3 linked regions of the Bombyx mori genome follow. The protein of the gene in region 1 binds, or shares a complex with, the protein of each later gene. Links are inferred from orthologs where the notes say so. Each region holds a gene or a part of one and is shown on either strand. Other genes may lie near its edges.

Evidence for each region.
Region 2: exosome complex component RRP41 (region 1) and exosome complex component CSL4 share a complex: the UniProt entries of both Homo sapiens proteins name them as parts of the RNA exosome core complex. The link is inferred for Bombyx mori from reciprocal best matches to the Homo sapiens genes EXOSC4 and EXOSC1.
Region 3: exosome complex component RRP41 (region 1) and exosome complex component RRP45 share a complex: the UniProt entries of both Homo sapiens proteins name them as parts of the RNA exosome core complex. The link is inferred for Bombyx mori from reciprocal best matches to the Homo sapiens genes EXOSC4 and EXOSC9.

The regions. Positions count from the first base shown.
Region 1 is NC_085134.1:3,234,562-3,240,780, forward strand, and holds the start of exosome complex component RRP41, read right to left. Parts: upstream 3,842-6,219; 5' UTR 3,422-3,841; coding exon 3,251-3,421; intron 2,896-3,250; coding exon 2,823-2,895; intron 1,397-2,822; coding exon 1,260-1,396; intron 621-1,259; coding exon 416-620; intron 1-415. UniProt on the Homo sapiens protein: Non-catalytic component of the RNA exosome complex which has 3'->5' exoribonuclease activity and participates in a multitude of cellular RNA processing and degradation events.
Region 2 is NC_085132.1:3,512,191-3,517,891, reverse strand, and holds exosome complex component CSL4, read right to left. Parts: upstream 3,790-5,701; 5' UTR 3,429-3,789; coding exon 3,258-3,428; intron 2,862-3,257; coding exon 2,613-2,861; intron 2,287-2,612; coding exon 2,041-2,286; 3' UTR 2,026-2,040; downstream 1-2,025. Other genes in the region: PH domain-containing protein DDB_G0287875, read left to right, coding at 1-214. UniProt on the Homo sapiens protein: Non-catalytic component of the RNA exosome complex which has 3'->5' exoribonuclease activity and participates in a multitude of cellular RNA processing and degradation events.
Region 3 is NC_085119.1:13,154,114-13,160,518, forward strand, and holds the start of exosome complex component RRP45, read right to left. Parts: upstream 4,326-6,405; 5' UTR 4,289-4,325; intron 4,210-4,288; 5' UTR 4,175-4,209; intron 3,083-4,174; exon of another isoform or gene 3,014-3,082; 5' UTR 2,619-3,013; intron 2,442-2,618; exon of another isoform or gene 2,390-2,441; intron 2,293-2,389; exon of another isoform or gene 2,202-2,292; intron 2,079-2,201; exon of another isoform or gene 1,848-2,078; intron 1,736-1,847; 5' UTR 1,685-1,735; coding exon 1,619-1,684; intron 1,548-1,618; coding exon 1,453-1,547; intron 789-1,452; coding exon 566-788; intron 1-565. UniProt on the Homo sapiens protein: Non-catalytic component of the RNA exosome complex which has 3'->5' exoribonuclease activity and participates in a multitude of cellular RNA processing and degradation events.

The sequences.
Region 1 (6,219 bases):
CTTTAGTACGTACATAATTAAATCTAGTTTGATTCAGTCCAAACTTGAACATTGCGATCAAGATCTCTTCGGTGGAGCTTTACAAAGAAAAAGAAAAAAGGTTTTTGTGCCTAGCATTTTTTTTTATTGCTTAAATGGGTGGACGAGCTCACAGCCCACCTGGTGTTAAGTGGTTACATAGACATCTACAACATAAATGCGCCACCCACCTTGTGATATAAGTTCTAAGGTCTCAGTATAGTTACAACGGCTGCCCCTTCAAACCGAAACGCATTACTGCTTCACGGCAGAAGTAGGCAAAGTGGTGGTACCCACCCGCGCGGACTCACAAAAGGTCCTACCACCAGTAAATAGCATTGGTCTACTTTGAGACAATTAACATCTGAAGTTGCAGTGACATGGTAATTACACTAACCTGTGCTGGGTAAGCTGGCTACGGTCAAACATACTCCATCGGCTGCTTCCTCGATGTGACTAACGTCCACCAGGGGCTCGTGGGTGGCGCTTTGTCGGCCCAGGGACGCCGAGCAGGCGGTCACGTACGCTCTCAGAGGTATACCAGAGTCTATCAGCGCTAGACTGGCTGCATTCACGCTGGCACAATACGTACCACCATCGGCCTGTTAAAATACAACTTGTCTGGGTGGATATCTTATGCTTCTTGCTAGGCAAACTTCAGTTGCACACTTTTTTTTGTATAATCCCACTATCCATTGAAACAGTCTGTCCCTTTGTCTCATGTTAGGAACTGAAAAACCAGCACTGGTACGCAGAGAAAATATTCACAGTTCATTTTTGTTTATATAGTTTGATTAGCATTACATTTCTCAGAAATAAGTCATACAGAACAAAAATGGAAAAAAAAATTTGGGGAAAAAACCATAAACGCTTAGTTGTTTGAACACTTGTGACCGCTGAACTTCAAGCAAGCTGTGAGGTCACCTGCTCTTGACTCAGCTATCATAAGGATGGGTGAAAGGCCATTTCGTTTAAGCGACATTTTTGTTACTTTACAGGAGAGCCATTTAAAGTTTAAAATTTGAAAAAAATATCGCAACAACAAAAACTTCTTCAGCTATTTGAATGCGGTAAACTTAACTGAAGTTCAATTAAAAACATTGGATTGGTGATACTAATACTAAATAAAACCGACCTTTAATTAGAAAGATAAATATCGCATAGTAAACGAAATGTCGTATAACCCAAATAGCATATAATCCGTCGATAAGGATTTAAAAAAAAAAAATTATATGTTTTACCTGTAATACTTCTATGTATATATCTATTTGCGACCTTGGATACATTTCAGTTTTAATAGCAGCAGTTAGAGCTTGTCGGAGATGCATTGACATTTCTTGTGACTTGCGGTCCCCGCGAGGTCGGTTCTTTCGTTCACCTAGATGCGAAATGTTCGATAATAAGTCGTTTAGAAGTCGTCGTGGCCTAACGGATAAGACGTCCGGTGCATTCGTGTTGAAGCGATGCACCGGTGTTCGAATCCCGCAGGCGGGTACCAATTTTTCTAATGAAATACGTAATCAACAAATGTTCACGATTGACTTCCACGGTGAAGGAATAACATCGTGTAATAAAAAAAACCCGCAAAATTATAATTTGCGTAATTACTGGTGGTAGGACCTCTTGTGAGTCCGCACGGGTAGGTACCACCGCCCCGCCTATTTCTGCCGTGAAGCAGTAATGCGTTTCGGTTTGAAGGGTGGTGCAGCCGTTGTGACTATACTGAGACCTTAAAACTGTATCTCAAGGTGTGTGGCGCATTTACGTTGTAGATGTCTATGGGCTCCAGTAACCACTTAACATCAGGTGGGCTGTGAGCTCGTCCACACATCTAAGCAATAAAAAAAAAAAAAATAATAAGTTATGTAGCCTAATAGGCATATATATATAATAACCCTTATAAGTTGTGTAGATAAGAATATTCATATCTTTGGGTCTATCTTAGTTTCTTTTTGTACTGACGAGGGAATATCCTAGTTTTAACTTTTAAATGGGTAGAATACATAGACATCGCAGTGTGTATAATGCCACCGATTTTGAGAGACAGTCAAAATCTCAAATGTATTATGAAACTGCAAAGCATGATTGCTTCATTGTAAACATATAACAGTACCTACTTCTGCAGGCTTATCACATACATAATTGTATTGTTTTCAAATGTATAACATTTATAATATAACTGCCTATCTGCCAGCTATATGCTTACCTAAATTACATATTATATTATGTGAGTGGAGAATTTTTTTTATTCTCTTGTAGGCAGACGAGCATACGGCCTACTTGATGGTGAGTGGGTAACCACACAGTAATGTCGCCCATTGACTTCAGCAATGTCAGGGGCAGAGCTATTGCCTGCCGCTGACTGTGCTTAACACTAGGATAAAATGCATCCTATTTAATTTCCCATAGTAGAGTTTCTTTCATTTTCATGTTATTATTTGCTGTATATTTTCTAACATATAATGGCACTAAGTAAATTCCATAAAACTTTAAATGATGAAAACTTTTTGCATCTTTTGATTAAAATAAAACAAAACCTTTATTCTGTTACAAACAAATTTTTGTCCACCATAAAAAAAACTACACGTACGTAGTAAACGTATCTGGTTCAGTAGGTCTGATGATGTGCAGGAACAAATAAATGTACACACTGAAATTAATTCTAAGATTGATTGGAAATCCACGGATGTTATTAACTTGTGTATTTTTAATGTGCGATTAAGCTCATACAGATTTTTTTCTCTATATATAATCTCATTTATTTGAAGAGGCTTTTGAAAATATGTTGAACTCTCAATGGGTACCTGTTGAGAATGTAGCCATACTGTATTGGCAGTTGACAACTACAGCTTCTGTCGACATCTTCGATTTTGAAGCCTGAAAAACATTTTAAATTATAATGAAGGTTTTTCATTTATGAAGAACGTGTCCGAAAATGAAGTACCTAAAATGTGTAAATACATATTTTTTACCAGCTACTTGGTAAGAATTTGGTTACTAAAGCTGAAACACATCAAGACGTGAATGCGACCTTGGCACATGGGTCGATACTTCAATATTGTAAAATAGCTGTCTTATTCTTCAAGCCAGAAGGCATTACACTTTTGTAGCAGAAATAGTGCAATTTTGTAGCAGAAGTAGCGGGATAGTGATGATTATTTACTCAGGCAGATTTACAGACGTTTTGCCACGGTAAACTAATCAGTATTTGTAAATCGTTTGTATCATATACCTGATGGGGTCCATACACGGCTGCAAGCACTTTCGTGTTTCCTTGTTCGAGATACGCACTTCCATCAGGCTGGGTGAATACACCAAGTTTACATCTTATCCGACGTAATTCATTGGGTCTCCGCCCGTCAAGACGTAGTCCTTGACTCGAGAGTAGATCGGCAGCGGGCATTATTTAACTTCTAACAAAAACACATTAAAAAATAATGAATTGTTCAATATGTTGAATTGTTTTGTTAAAAATATTTGCTTTTTACTATGTTATATTATCATAGTCGATTCCGTTTTTAAAATTCGCGGTGATTCTAATAATTCATGAGATTGGTTATGGACGTTATGGTTATTAAAGAATAAAGACTAATAAATATATTATTTTCGTTCAATTATTTTTTAAACTTTATTTTGTAGGTTATGTTATCGTGTTTTTTTTCAGGGTAGTGTGACCTGGTAACTAAGACCTTTAAGTCATTTCTTATTTTAATTTATATTATTATTTTTATGCAAAATGATAATATGGAGTGAGATGAAATGAAATGAAACGAAGATGATTAATTTGAGACATTAATCAACTGAGATGAAATTAAATGAAATGAGATGATATGGGATGAAATATAATCTCAGTAAAATGGTGGTTATTTACTAAGATTTTTCCAATTTAATGAGCAACGTGTCAGGCAACTTGTCAGTGATGTTGAGTTGGGTGACCGCCGTCCTTCGCAGTTTTTACGTTATCTTAGATCATTGGCAGGAAAAACCCTCACTGATGAAAATTTGCTTCGCCAGCTATGGATGCGTCGCCTCCCACAACATCTCCAAGCAATTTTGGCCGCCCAATCAGAACTCTCGCTGGACAAAGTCGCTGAGCTAGCGGACAAAATTTTGGAAGTTTCGCCTGGTATGGTCGCACCTCATTCATCTGCTGTTTTCTCAGCAAGTACGTCTGCCGTCTCAACCCCTTCGTTAGAAGATATCACACGGCGTCTGGATGAGGTCACGCGTCAGCTTGCTGTGCTTACTGCAGAGCGCGGTAGAAATAGGACCCGGGATTTCTCAAACCAGCGACGACGCTCACAAACGCCTGGTAAGCTTCAAATGTGCTTTTACCATAGGAAATTTAATACTAAAGCTGTTAAGTGTATTCAACCATGTACCTGGACGCCGCCGCCATCTTCGGAAAACGACAAAAGCAGTCAATGATGGCGACGTCTGACTGCTTAAAGGAGAGTCGCCGATTATTTGTCACCGAAAGCGCAACCAAGCGCCGTTTTTTAATAGACACAGGCTCCGACCTCTCCTGTTACCCATACCAGTGGTTAGCAAATAAGCCGGTACGTTCAAACTATACGTTAGCGGCTGCCAATGGTAGTGAGATACGCACTTTTGGTCACATAGAAATGGCGCTTAATTTGGGGTTACGCCGCACATTTCAATGGCGATTTATTATCGCTGACGTCAACACCGCCATCATCGGCTCCGATTTTCTGGCGCATTATCGGTTGTTGCCAGATTGTGCCAGTAAGAGACTCGTCGATAGCATTACCGGGTTGTCATACGTTGCTGCCGTCGCTGTTTTAGACCAGACCAGCGTCAAAGTTGTCTGCGCGCCGTCATCCCAATTTAGTGCACTTCTTGCGGAATTTCCGTCCATTACGAAGCCACCAGGACTTATTCGTGAGCCGAAGCATAACACAGTTCATTATATTCTAACCACTGAGGGCGCCCCAGTCTCTTGTCGTCCTAGACGTCTGGCACCTCAAAAACTTCAAGAGGCCAAAAAGGTTTTTGATGATATGGTACAGTGCGGGACAGCCAGACCTTCGAAAAGTTCGTGGTCTTCTCCACTTCATATGGTCCCTAAGCGCGACGGCACCTGGCGACCCTGCGGCGATTATCGTGCGTTGAATTCACGTACCATACCTGACAGGTACCCAGTTCGCCATATCGGTGACGTTGGCCATAACATATCTGGGTGTTGTATATTTAGTACCATCGACCTCGTTAAGGCATATCAGCAAATTCCTGTTGCGCCTGAGGATATCTGTAAAACCGCCATCATAACACTCTTCGGACTCTACGAATTTAATTACATGACTTTTGGTCTGCGCAACGCAGGCCAAACGTTTCAAAGATTTATAGACGAAGTTGTCCAAGGTCTCGATTTTTGCTTTGCGTACGTTGATGACATATTAGTGTATTCCCGTGATGCTCTTCAACATGCTGCACACCTTCGTACTCTTTTCAAGCGATTTGAAGATTACGGAATCGTTATTAATCCAGCAAAATGCGTGTTTGGTGCTCCTGAGGTTACTTTTCTCGGAAACAGAATATCCGCCGACGGAACACAACCACCATCAGAGCGCATTCAAGCTCTAAAAGATTTTCCTCTACCACAGACTGTACAAGGACTCCGTCGTTTCATTGTGATGTAAACTTCTTAGTTGAAATTCAGTAACCAACTTAAAGTGTCTACCAATAAGGAAATGTCTCCATTTCTTCAATGATTCCACAATGGCGTACGCTTCTTTTTCAATGGCGGAATGGTTTTGTTCGCTTGAATTTAACGTTCTTGAATTGATACACAGCAATCCTGACTTTTCATACATTCGGCTTCCAGATGGCCGAGAAACAACAGTGTCGAATCGTCATCTAGCACCATTGGGTTCAGAAAGGGTAGATCTGCGAATAGATAATGAACACACTATTGATTATCATAACGTCGCAGAACCACTTCCGGAAACAGAAGACCAAAACTTGGAGATTCCTTCATCCAATGAAACGGGACCTGTGGTACTTGATAATAGCAGAGAGCTAGAGACAGAATTACCATCATCACCACCGCCGGAGCCAACACTTCGTAGATCTGGTCGCGTCCATAAAACGCCAGGATTTTTGAAAGATTATATTTTAAAATAGTGCGGGAGAATGATGTAAACTTCTTAGTTGAAATTATCAACCATAAGTTGACGTCAT
Region 2 (5,701 bases), on another chromosome or scaffold:
AAAAATAAAAAAACAGAAACGATATCTCACAGACTCTTTAAAAAATTTACACAAAAAGTACATTGCCACTTCTCAATACAAGATAAGCTATAGCAGTTTTTGTAAGCTCCGACCATTTTGGATTCGCATACCAACCGTGAATATTCGAGACACCTGCTTATGTAAGGTTCATGAGAACATGGAACTGGTGGTAACAGCTTTACGAAAAAACTAATCTTATTGAAGAGAAATCCACTACCCAAATCCTACAATATTTGTGTTGCGATAGCAGAAATGGTGATTGTTTGTCCAGAAATTGTGTACTGTGCAAAGATAAACAAATAACTTTTAAGGAATTTGATAACTCTAAAGAGACTGGACTTGGAAAAAGGTAAAAAAAACTTACTTCAAAGATAGCCAAGAAAAATCTACTCTTCAAACAATTAAAGAGAAAGTCGTAGAGTTTCCCAGAAACATAATTGAACAGTTTCATAAACTATTAGAACCTTACAGAACCTTAGAAGTCGTCGTGGCCTAAAGGATAAGACGTCCGGTGCATTCGTGTGTAGCGATGCACCGGTGTTCGAATCCCGCAGGCGGGTACCAATTTTTCTAATGAAATACGTACTCGACAAATGTTCACGATTGACTTCCACGGTGAAGGAATAACATCGTGTAATAAAAATCAAACCCGCAAAATTATAATTTGCGTAATCACTGGTGGTAGGACCTCTTGGGAGTCCTCACGGGTAGGTACCACCACCCCGCCTATTTCCGCCGTGAAGCAGTAATGCGTTTCGGTTCGAAGGGTGGGGTAGCCGTTGTAACTTTACTGAGACCTTAGAACTTATATCTCAACGTGGGTGGCGCATTTACGTTGTAGATGTATATGGGCTCCAGTAACCACTTAACACCAGGTGGGCTGTGAGCTCGTCCACCCATCTAAGCAATAAAAAATAAATAAAAAAAACGTGCGCCACTATGGAAATATTACAGGACAATATAATCACATAAAACAGTTAAAAGAAAATGTAACTACAGAAGAATGCATTGTACATAGTGACTTTAGTGAAAACTACAACACAAAGTATGCATCCGAGATCCAGTCTTTATGGACTGTATGGATACATCCGTGGTCAGCATTTTGGCGCGTAAAATAAAGTCTGTCGTTTATAATTGAAAATCTTCGAATTTTTAATGAAAGTTCCTATTCGTCAAGGGTGTTTTGAGCTTTCATTATCTCATTTATTATTTCATTATCTAATTAACTTGCCATCATTATAATTATCTCGGCAGTCTGTCACAGGTATTAGTTTATTTATTGGCAAAAAACCATTCTTTTCACCTCCATCACCATCTCTCACACACCTCACGTCCCACACGCCAAATAAGGCGTAATAGTAAAAGGTATTTTGATTATTAAAATGCTTTAATACAAAATGCATTTTTCTATAATTCTGGACCTCCTCTAGAATTTCTTAAACTTTGTGGCCCGCCATTAAAAATATTTGCCCACCACTACTACAGATATTATCAACTGCCGTCCTTTCTTAAGACATGTGTCCTTACAGTCTGTACAACTGTAACTCATTACCTAACGCTTCAGGAAAAAATAAGCCAATGGAAATGAAAACCAATTATTATGGAAATTAAAATTTTTACAGGTTTGATTTTTATTACATGATGTCAATCCTTCAAGGTGAAAAAAGTACACTTAAACTTTTAGTTATTATGTTTTGTTGCTGCTTGAAGAATGCAGTCCGTGGGAGTAACCCAGAAAAACGAATATGTTAACAAGGCCGCCGAAGCGGTACAGCTGGTGTTCAGGGGTACTACCTTAGACTAAAACCAATGTGCTTGGTTACAGCCAAATTAATACCCAGAGTTTGCGAGTATTCAACAGTCAGCAAAAATTTTTAACCCTTGACTTTGGTAATAGTTTTACTCTCATAATCAACATTCCAAGTTTCAGAAATAGATTAGAGTTAATATAATTTTTTATGAATACATTGTTTGCCTAAAATTTAATAAAATAAAACATGTCTGTAATTGAAATAAAAATTATTTATCAGTGTGATGATTGTCTTGCTTTGAATGAACTGGAAAGAGTGATTGATTAATATTTTCCGGTATAACTCTAGCAACTTTCCTTGGTTCTTTGACTAGAGTTTTAGGGCACTGCATCTCTGACCAGCTTATTGGTACCATGCTGACCCCTTGCGGTGATCCTTCAGCTGTAGCGATAACAACTCCCAGTTCATTTTCTGCAGTCGATAATTGGTACCAGTGGATTTCCGTCATTGGTAACTGAATTCCAGTTTAGGAAAATGATTATATATTATTTAATATTCAGTGAATATAATAGATGTATTTTTCAAGCTTGAGTAGACATAGAGTTTGATGTTATACAAAACCAAAACTGCATTCTATTTTGCAGTATAATCATAATTTCTAAGCAAATGTGACTCCAAAATCCCACAATGCTCAAGTGTTTCATGTGGTAGGCAAACTATAAGGTTAGTACATAATGTAAAGACCCATCTAATGAGTCAAATACAAACAAAGAGTAAGTCATTATTAAAAGTGAAAAGGTTTTTTGAATACTAACAAGTTTATAATATTGTAAAGGATACAACTCTAGCTAGTATAATATCTCCAGGTCTAAAACATTTATATGGATCAACTCTGTCTTTCTCTGTTGCCTTTATATCTTCTTTTTTTAATATTCCTTTGTACATTCTAACAAGTACTGAAGGGCCAACACAGAGGATTAGGCATTGTACAGTTCTTGGATTTACAACTGTTACTTTTGCGGTTACTATGTCACCTGTGTTGGGTAAAACACTTGGTGTTCTTGAACTTTCTACTGAAATTATATTAGCCTAAAAAATTTTCAATCATTAGTTTAATTTATAGGTTTTTTCATTTGTTTCATTTTCTATTTTGTTGAAATAGAATTCTGGGGTGAATTTAGAATTTCATCTGCTATTGCATAAAAAAATATTCTGCTGCTAAAAGAAGCGTCTGCTTGAAATAGTGAGCAAGCCTAAACTAAAGACCATAAAACCGAGTGTCCATAAGTGTCTTCTACAGGCAGTAAATTCCATATGATATACCTGTTAAGCTACAGTACCTATCTTCGTCCATGGTAATGTAGTGTTTTGCAGAGCATATTTATGGGCATTTTAAGTCACAATTAAAGAGGCACGGATGACGGTTGCAATAAAATCGTTTTAGCAATCAGTGGCAGCTTATACAAAGACTGTAACGTTATTTACTTTGGTGTTTTCATCCTCTTCTGTTTTCAAGATTCCAGCTAAAGCCGCATAAATATATCCTTTCAATTCATAGGTTCCCGGCCCTGATACGTTGTCTTTGTTTGATAAACTCAGTCGCATTCCAGGAATACATATTGAACCTATTTCTTTTATTTTTTCTTCCAAATTCATAATGTAGTAGAGGTTAGAATTTACAATTTAACTTGAACTACAACTTAAAGTTCGGTTAGATTATTTTCGTCACAGCTAAAACGTGTCTTTAATTGTAAACTGTCTTATAATAGTGTGTTGAACTGTGTTGTTTATTAATTCCAGTTACAGTTTGTTATTTGTTATGTACATAAGTTAAGATCACAGAACACTATTACTTCTAGCGAAGATAAGATTCTCAAATAAATTAGGTGTATAATCTATGGTTATGATCTTTTTTTTAATCGCGTAGTGAAATCATAGATTATACAAAAGTGCAAATGTTTTTTTGTTCGTTCTTTGATTAATTAAGTAAAAGAAACAAAGTTTATAGAGCTTAATCATTTCGTAATAGAGGGTGACATTTCTTCCATGAAACGTACAACGCAACGAAATCAATTTTTATTTAAATTGTTGAGATGTGACATTCCCTTTGTAAAATCCCGGATAACTCAGTCAGAGCATGAGACTCATAATCTCAGAGTCGTCATTCGAGACCCACGTTGGGCTATTTACATTTTGATCTCAGGTAAGCTTTTCTCCACGTGCCCCTTAGGTGCGAGGACCTTGTAAACCAAGAATAATAAAAATATTTGCGTTGTCGACTGGTACTACTGGAACTAATGTGGATTTACTGTAGATCATTCATTGGTGGTGTGAGCCAGCACAAGCAAATACCAGTACTCTGCCTATTCAATTATTCTGTCACGAAGCAGTAATGCATTTCTGTATGAAGGATGGGGCAGCTGTTGTACTTTAATACTGAGACTTAAAACTCATATCTAGGGATCGATAGTGGCATTAAGGTTACGATGTCTCTGGGTTTTATTTCAGAAAGAAATTATAAAGGACTTGGCTTCTGCCTTAATGATTTTTTTATTTCAGGATATAATATAAATCATATAAGACCTGGCTTCGGCTTTTTTGAAAATTCATTTTAGAAATTATATACAACACACAAGGCTGTATGGGTTTAGATCCCCTTGCCTTTCCTAATAAGGAAAAATTGAATCAAAAAATGTCTATGGGCTCTAGTGACCACTTAATACCAGATGGGCCTGGACTTTGTCTCGTCTCTCACTCGTCTAAATAATTAAAAAATATTGTTGCAGTAAGCAATGGCGTTGCTGGCTTTCCACTTTACTACTTTGACTACTTACCAGGTGGAACGTGTGCTCGTCTCCCTACCACGGAAAAAACGTTAGTAAGGAAGAGGGTACCACCACCACTACCACCAGTATTTGTTTTTCCTCTATTATTTCATCTACTAAAATATCATAATCGACTTGGATGATGCAAAATATTCTCACTTATTTTCGTAAAATCTTACTAGCCATAATAATATATTTTATCTACATAATTAATTACTGATTATTGTTAGTGCTACGATATGGTTCGTGAAAATCTATGTTATACTGACATCTAAGTTGAAATAAATGATTTTTGAACCTTATTTATATTATTAACTCAAAACACTCACAGCTAACATCGTCTTGGCTTATAGGATAAGACATCCGGTGCATTCGTGTTGAGCGATGCACCGGTGTTTCGAATCCCAGGCGGGTACCAATTTTACTAATGAAATACGTACTCAACAAATGTTCACGATTGACTCCCAAGGTGGAGGTATAACATCGTGTAATAAAAATCAAACCCGCAAAATTATAATTTGCGTAATTACTGGTGGTAGGGTCTCTTGTGAGTCCGCGCGGGTAGGTACCAGCATTAGTTCTGCCGTGAAGCAGTAATGCGTTTCGGATTGAAGGGTGGGGCAGCCGTTGTAACTATACTTGAGACCTTAGAACTTATATCTCAAAATGGATGGCGCATTTACGTTGTAGATGTCTATGGGCTCCAGTAACCACTTAACACCAGGTGGGCTGTAAGCTCCTCCACTCATCTAAGCAATAAATAAAAAAGCTAACCATTGATTCATCAGGAAAGATAAATTTAACTCAACCAGGCTACCCGACTCTCAAAGTTTTTTAATAACGCTAATTATACTGATGATTACAACCATTAAGAAGATACGAAATATGTGATTTTAATTGGTGTGTTTATTCGTTTCCATTCAAAATTAGTTAATGATTTGATCAAATTAACATCGATAGTTTTGTTCAGATTTGTCGATATTTTCAATTTTGATCAATTACAAGCTCAGCACTATTCTGTGTTGGACGTGTCACGTCAGCCGGTTGGCTGTCATTGCGCTTGTTTTAATTTTTGTAGTTTTTCGTATTATTTCAGCGGTGTTT
Region 3 (6,405 bases), on another chromosome or scaffold:
TTTTTGGCAAGATAACCCTTTTTTCCAAAATGAACTGATAACTCAGACCCTCTGAATAACTTTAAAAAGCCTTGTAGTTTTTTTCTATTGATACAAAATACTAACATCCAAAGAAGAAGTTGTTTTAATTAGTAGAGGGTCGGTTTTTAGAGCTCATCAACCTCCAAAATTGAGTTAATTTATGATTTCACAACCAGAATCCCTGGCCTAACATATAAAATACTTACCCCACTCCATAGAAATAATGTGAATGGCACCACTCACCATGAGACATGAGATTGAGGGCTCATTTTAAAACAGAAGCATTGTAGAAGCACTTTGGTCAGAAATAGGCTAGACGGAAGACACCACACCCACTGCCTACATTGCAGCCTATCTTCAGATATTTAAAAGTTACTACAAATGTTATCTAGAGTTTGGAAATAAATACTTTAGAAATATTTTAAATTAATAGTGGAAATAATTACAAAACAGGAAAACATCATAGTGTGAAATAATTCTGTCCATATGGCATACAGAATTGCTTACATCTAGATCTATTAAGGTAAGATTTTTTTAAATTTACCTTTTCTTCTACTACAATGCAGAGTGATTCCAGGTCTATGCATTTTGAATCTTTGTAACATTTTTCTAATAATCTTACAAGATAAACAGTGAGATCTGTTTGTCTATTGGCTTCAAACTGTGGAGCGGCCATAGGATTAAGTTCAACATTAATAAATATGATGCCTTCATTTGGTCTTATTTGTTTTGGCTGAGCGACTTCACATGTGACTTCTGATAGGATCCTGAAATTGAGTAATTTACTTTTTAGTTACCCATGTCCCCCAACTCCAGTGAATGCCACCAATGAAAACAATTTTTCATATTCTACAGATCTCATTGGGCACTAGGGATCCCACACCAATGTAATTTTAAGATAGTAGTCATTTAATATTGATAGCTTAATATTACCCTTTAGGTCAAGTTCATAAATAAGTAAGTAGCTCATAAGGCTTTAGCAATTTTAGGACAAATTCATTTAAAGTTTAGGTGTTATTCTCTTATTCATCATATCTGAAAACTGTTAATTAATGAGCAATGGAGCATTTCCTTGTTGCTGTGCTGGTTCACAGATCACAAAGACACTCACTTTAAGACATGAAGTCAGTTAATTGTATTGCAAAATTTCTATCCAATATTCTGTGATAGTATTCTTTTATGTTAACGATTTTTTACTTTTCATTCAAGTTTATTTACATAATATCATTTTAACATTTTCAAGATGTGGTTAAATTAATAACAAAATAAATCAATCTAAGAATACAAGACAGGTCTACTGAATTTGTTTCTCTATATCCTTCAATTGTTCTATCTATCCAATAAACGCTGTTTAAATACAAAAATAACAGTATATACTGCTTCATTTACTTTGTTTATTTACAATTTGTTAGTGATTCAGTTCCAACTTACTTCGTTTCTCCCAAAGACACAATACAGCAACCATATTCAGAACCAAATGATATATCTAGTTTTCGGGTTTCATTAAAATTTCGACCGTCCAAGCGCTGTAATCAATTTATTTCCAAATTACTTTTGTAGAAGAGTCTTAGGTTATATTCTATTAGTTTCAACTTACATGTCCTTGAGATACGATCTTTTGTATGAAATTCTTTTCACAATTCGATAAACAAGTATCACGCATTTTGTTATTGGTTCATATTTTTTTGTGAATATTCTGTTTAAAGAGGCATACCTAGCAATAAATGTGTGATTATTTTTCTTAGGTTATCTGTTAAACTTTTTTTTTAATTCCACTTGTTCAATTAAACAGGCAAAGGGAATATAGCCTAAAGAACTAAACCAAATGAAAGTCACACCTTTAACTGTTTAATTTAAATTAGCTGTGATTAAATTAAAATGACCTGTCATATTGTGAAAATTTATTGAAACTTCAAAGGAATTATTGTGGATTATGGAATTACTCTACAGCAACTGGTGGCGTTTGCTACATATAGAAATGTACTAGGTACTTCCAAAACCTTTTTGGAAGACCTCGAAAAGTCACGTCCACAGATTTTGTTTCACTTTTTATATAGGTACGTTAACAGATACTAAATTTGAAGCGACATCGAACTGTGAAAATGATACAATTCTGATCATGCGCTCTTCGGCTCCTGGTTAATCCAACCTAGATAAGTCTCGACCTCAGATCTTAATTAATACTTAAAACTTCACGAGAACTGCGTATATTTCACGAGGAGCGTAACAACGTTCCGGAGAGATCCGTACTGTGCTACGGCTCGGACAAATGTAAATATTATAAATATTATATAATAATACTTAAAATGTATATATTAAAAATTTTAATTCTATGATTGATAAAAATTACATTTTGTTCGAACTCTAGAGTAGCACAGGAGCTCAAGTAATATCTGGGGCACAGGTGAACAGATAGGCAGGTACGTAAGCGGCTGACACAAACACAAACTATATAGGCACAAGCTAAGATATGAATAACAACACCTGGGATATGGGCAGAGCTCGAAATTCAAATTGTATTCTATAAACATCTTTCAAACCACCAAACCCCATTAATGTTTTACTGCTAAAATAAATAATATAATTATTTTACTTACCAGTGCTCTCTTACATATTCGATGTGAGCTTAATGTCCCAATTAATACGCAAACTACATTTTTTTGCGTAGATAGGTGAACGAGCTCACGGCCCCACAACCAACCCAGGGAACGCCAGTTAACGATCATAGGTCAGTTTGGTATGATACCTACTAAAAAACACTTAACCATTCTCCGTTGAACCATCCTTAGACAACCTTTACAACACCCATGGGATGAGATGGGGCGGTGCTGCTATTCTATGACACCGCACATACACCGATTTTTGAATTGTAATCTTATTTATGTTAAAATGAACTGCGTAATGTAAAGGTAAATAACCACCGTATTAAATTTTCTAATGGTTTTCTAATGTAAATCATAAGGCATTTGACATAGCATTGACAGAACGCGTGCTGCAAATATGGTAAAAGAGGATGTAAAAAAACTGAATATCGTTTAAAACAAATGCTTCGGTCGGAATTAGGTATATTGATAACATAGATACTTAAGAGCATGTAAAGAATGAATTTGACAGTTTACAGAAAATCGTTGTTTTGCGGACCAATGAACGCCACTACATTTAGTTGCCCACTGAGTTTCTCGCCGGATCTTCTCAGCGGGTCGCGTTTTACAACCGGTGCTACCTAGATTCTGCGAAGCACAGCTCTTGCTAGGGCCAGTGTTGGCAACACTCCCGGCTTGAGCACCGTGAGCCCACCTACACCCTACACGTTAGAGTGAAGCTGAAATAGCCTCTAAAGCTATCACATAGATAGGAAAAAAATACATTCGTTGGTTTCCGGAAATGGGCCAGATTTTTGACTCATATCCAGCAAAACAATAACTGCTTTCAAATGACGTTCTTTGGAGCAACAAAAGTTATTCAGGAAAATTTTATGCCAACTTTCAAGGTAAAGTAATATTGATAAACAATGGACTTTTATCAGCACGTGTCTGATGCAAAATACGTTTGCAAGTTCCGATTGAAGCGGCGTATCAATTGAAAGAGCGTAAAGTAAGTTTGAAGCTCTATGAATTGCCAGAGGCAGCCAGAAGTGAGTGTATTTAAAAAAGTTGATATGGTAATGGCAGTGCTCACAAAGTAGTTTGAGAGCCACGTGGTAGAGCATTATGGATTACCCAATACAATATATTACGTCGTTTTCTCAGGTTCAGATTTGTATAAATGAAAATTCAATAAAATCAATAATAAATAAATTGTAGTATCCGAAGCGAAGCGAGGGCAGGTCGCTAGTCGACTATTAAAATCACACAGCTATTGATTTCGAGTAGAAATATTCAGTCTAGCAAACATAAGGAAGATGCTACCTATCGCAATCTATCTATAGCTAATTTCTGAGTTTATACTGGTCACTATTTTCGGCACATTCTGTTAGGAGTAATGTAAAATTCGGAGAAATTGATTTAGTTGATCCACTGCATGGGAGATCTTCGGCATGATCTTGTACTATCCGCTCTTCGTTGCCCTATGTAGCTTTTTATTGAGTTATTACCTCGTCACGAAATATATCTATATATGCAAAATATCCTATGTCCTGGATGACTATACATACAAATCACAGGTTTCTGCTCGCGTGGTATACGGATCCTTTAGAATGTAGACCTAAGTTTACGGAGAGGCTTTGGTTATGTATTTTTTACCACGCGACCAGCTTTGGAAAACACACCTCACTACACCCAAGAGAAATAAAAAAATGAAAACACGTACAACTCGTACAGTGAGTGCCTTTTATAGAATCACTTACTCCGCGGACCACGGAATAGATAAATAAGGTTATATATAAATATATAAATAACCTTATTTATTATTATATATTTATATATAACCTTATATATAAATATATAATATTTATATATAAGGTTATATATAAAAATATTATATTTATATATATATTTATATATATATATAAATATTATATATTTATATATATATAAATATATAATATTTATATATATAAATATTATATATTTATATTTATATATATATAATATTTATATATATAAATATATATAAATATATATATATATAAATAAGGTTATAAATAAGGTTATATATAACCTTATTTATATATAAATAAGGTTGTATATAAATATATAAATAACCTTATTTATCTATTCCGTGCCGCGGACAATCCAACTCAAGGGTAAAAAACTCTTCTCCACAATATTCTCCGTTAGCATATAGAATTGTTATGTCCATAAGCTACAGTAGCCCTTTTTGCGAGGTGCTCCTTGTACAATCGTGCTATAATTTGACATAACAAAAAAAAAAAAAAACAAAAAAAAATCTTATATATTACATAAACTAACAACCTAGTTTTATATGTAGGTACCTACCACAAATGTGATCACATATGACTATCACCCTAGTAATCAGTTATGCCGACATGCCATTAATGTACTATTGATCATTTTGTAAGAACGAAAACATGAAAGCTTTATGTGGATGATACCTTATAAAAAAACTATATTATTTTGTATTTTGATTGAAGAACCTTTATAGGATGATTTTAGTATTGAAATTTTCTAGTTGCGGCTTTAAGCAGGTGGCCTCTTTGAATTAAAATCGAATCTGCATGGACAATATTCCATTATTGTTTTTTCAAACAAAAACGTTTATATTTTTAATATTGTTGAATTTCTGTATTTTATATAATCTTGTAGCACTAAAAATTGTTAAATTGTTAAAGTAAAAGCTTTTTTAATTTTTTTAATCGCTTAGGTGGGTGGACGAGCTCACAGCCCACCTGATGTTAAGTGGTTACTGGAGCCCATAGACATCTACAAAGTAAATGCGCCACCCACCTTGAGATGTAAGTTCTAAGGTCTCAGTATAGTTACAATGTCTACTCCACCCTTGAAACCGAAACGCATTACTGCTTCACGGCAGAAATAGGCAGGGCAGTGGCACCTACCCGTGCGGACTCACAAGAGGTCCTAGTACCTATATGTATATGCTTTGCTACGGCGTTACAAAAGAAGGCAACCTTATTTACTACTTTGTTAACGACTTACAAAAATGATGTACTGGAAACTTCACAAACCATAGTATTTGCACCAAATTGGCTCGATAAAAAAACGATCGAGTTTTATTTATCTATGAGATCAATTACTGCAGTACCGCTGCAACAGTATTACTCGGAAATCTAACTAAAACCACATTCAGGCTAACGTTATTTTTTATAATTAATCAAAATTTAAGAGCTATCCACAATATTTCGCGCGAGCGTTATTTTTATATGCGCTACAACTCACGGCGGACAAGCACGACAAACGCATCATAATATTAGAGTCGCCCACTCCGTTGGAAAAGAACTGGTACGCCTGGCGATCGGCCACAATATAGACGAGTAAATAACTTTTCCACATGTAAGTAACTAAAATACTTTTTTTTCCTACCTATGCTGATAGCCTTGAGAGGCTATATCAGCGTTACCCTAGCGTGTAGGTGAGCTCTCGGAACTCAAGCCGGAGGTGTTGCTAACACTGGTCATACCAAGAGCAGTGCTTCACAGAATCTACCACGAGATCTGAAACGCGACCCACTGAGAAGATTCTATGAGAAACTCAGTGGGTTATAACACTTCCTGGGTTATGGATTTGCCAGAAAGGGATGATAAAAGAACAAGTAAACTGGATGTAACCGGAATCTTTAACAAACATATTCATAGTTGACCTGAGTGGCAAAAGTATTAACGAACTATTACTAACGCGATCGGTGCAATAATATAAAATAATATTACATGCCATGATTATAAATAGTCCCGGAATGAGACAAATTATT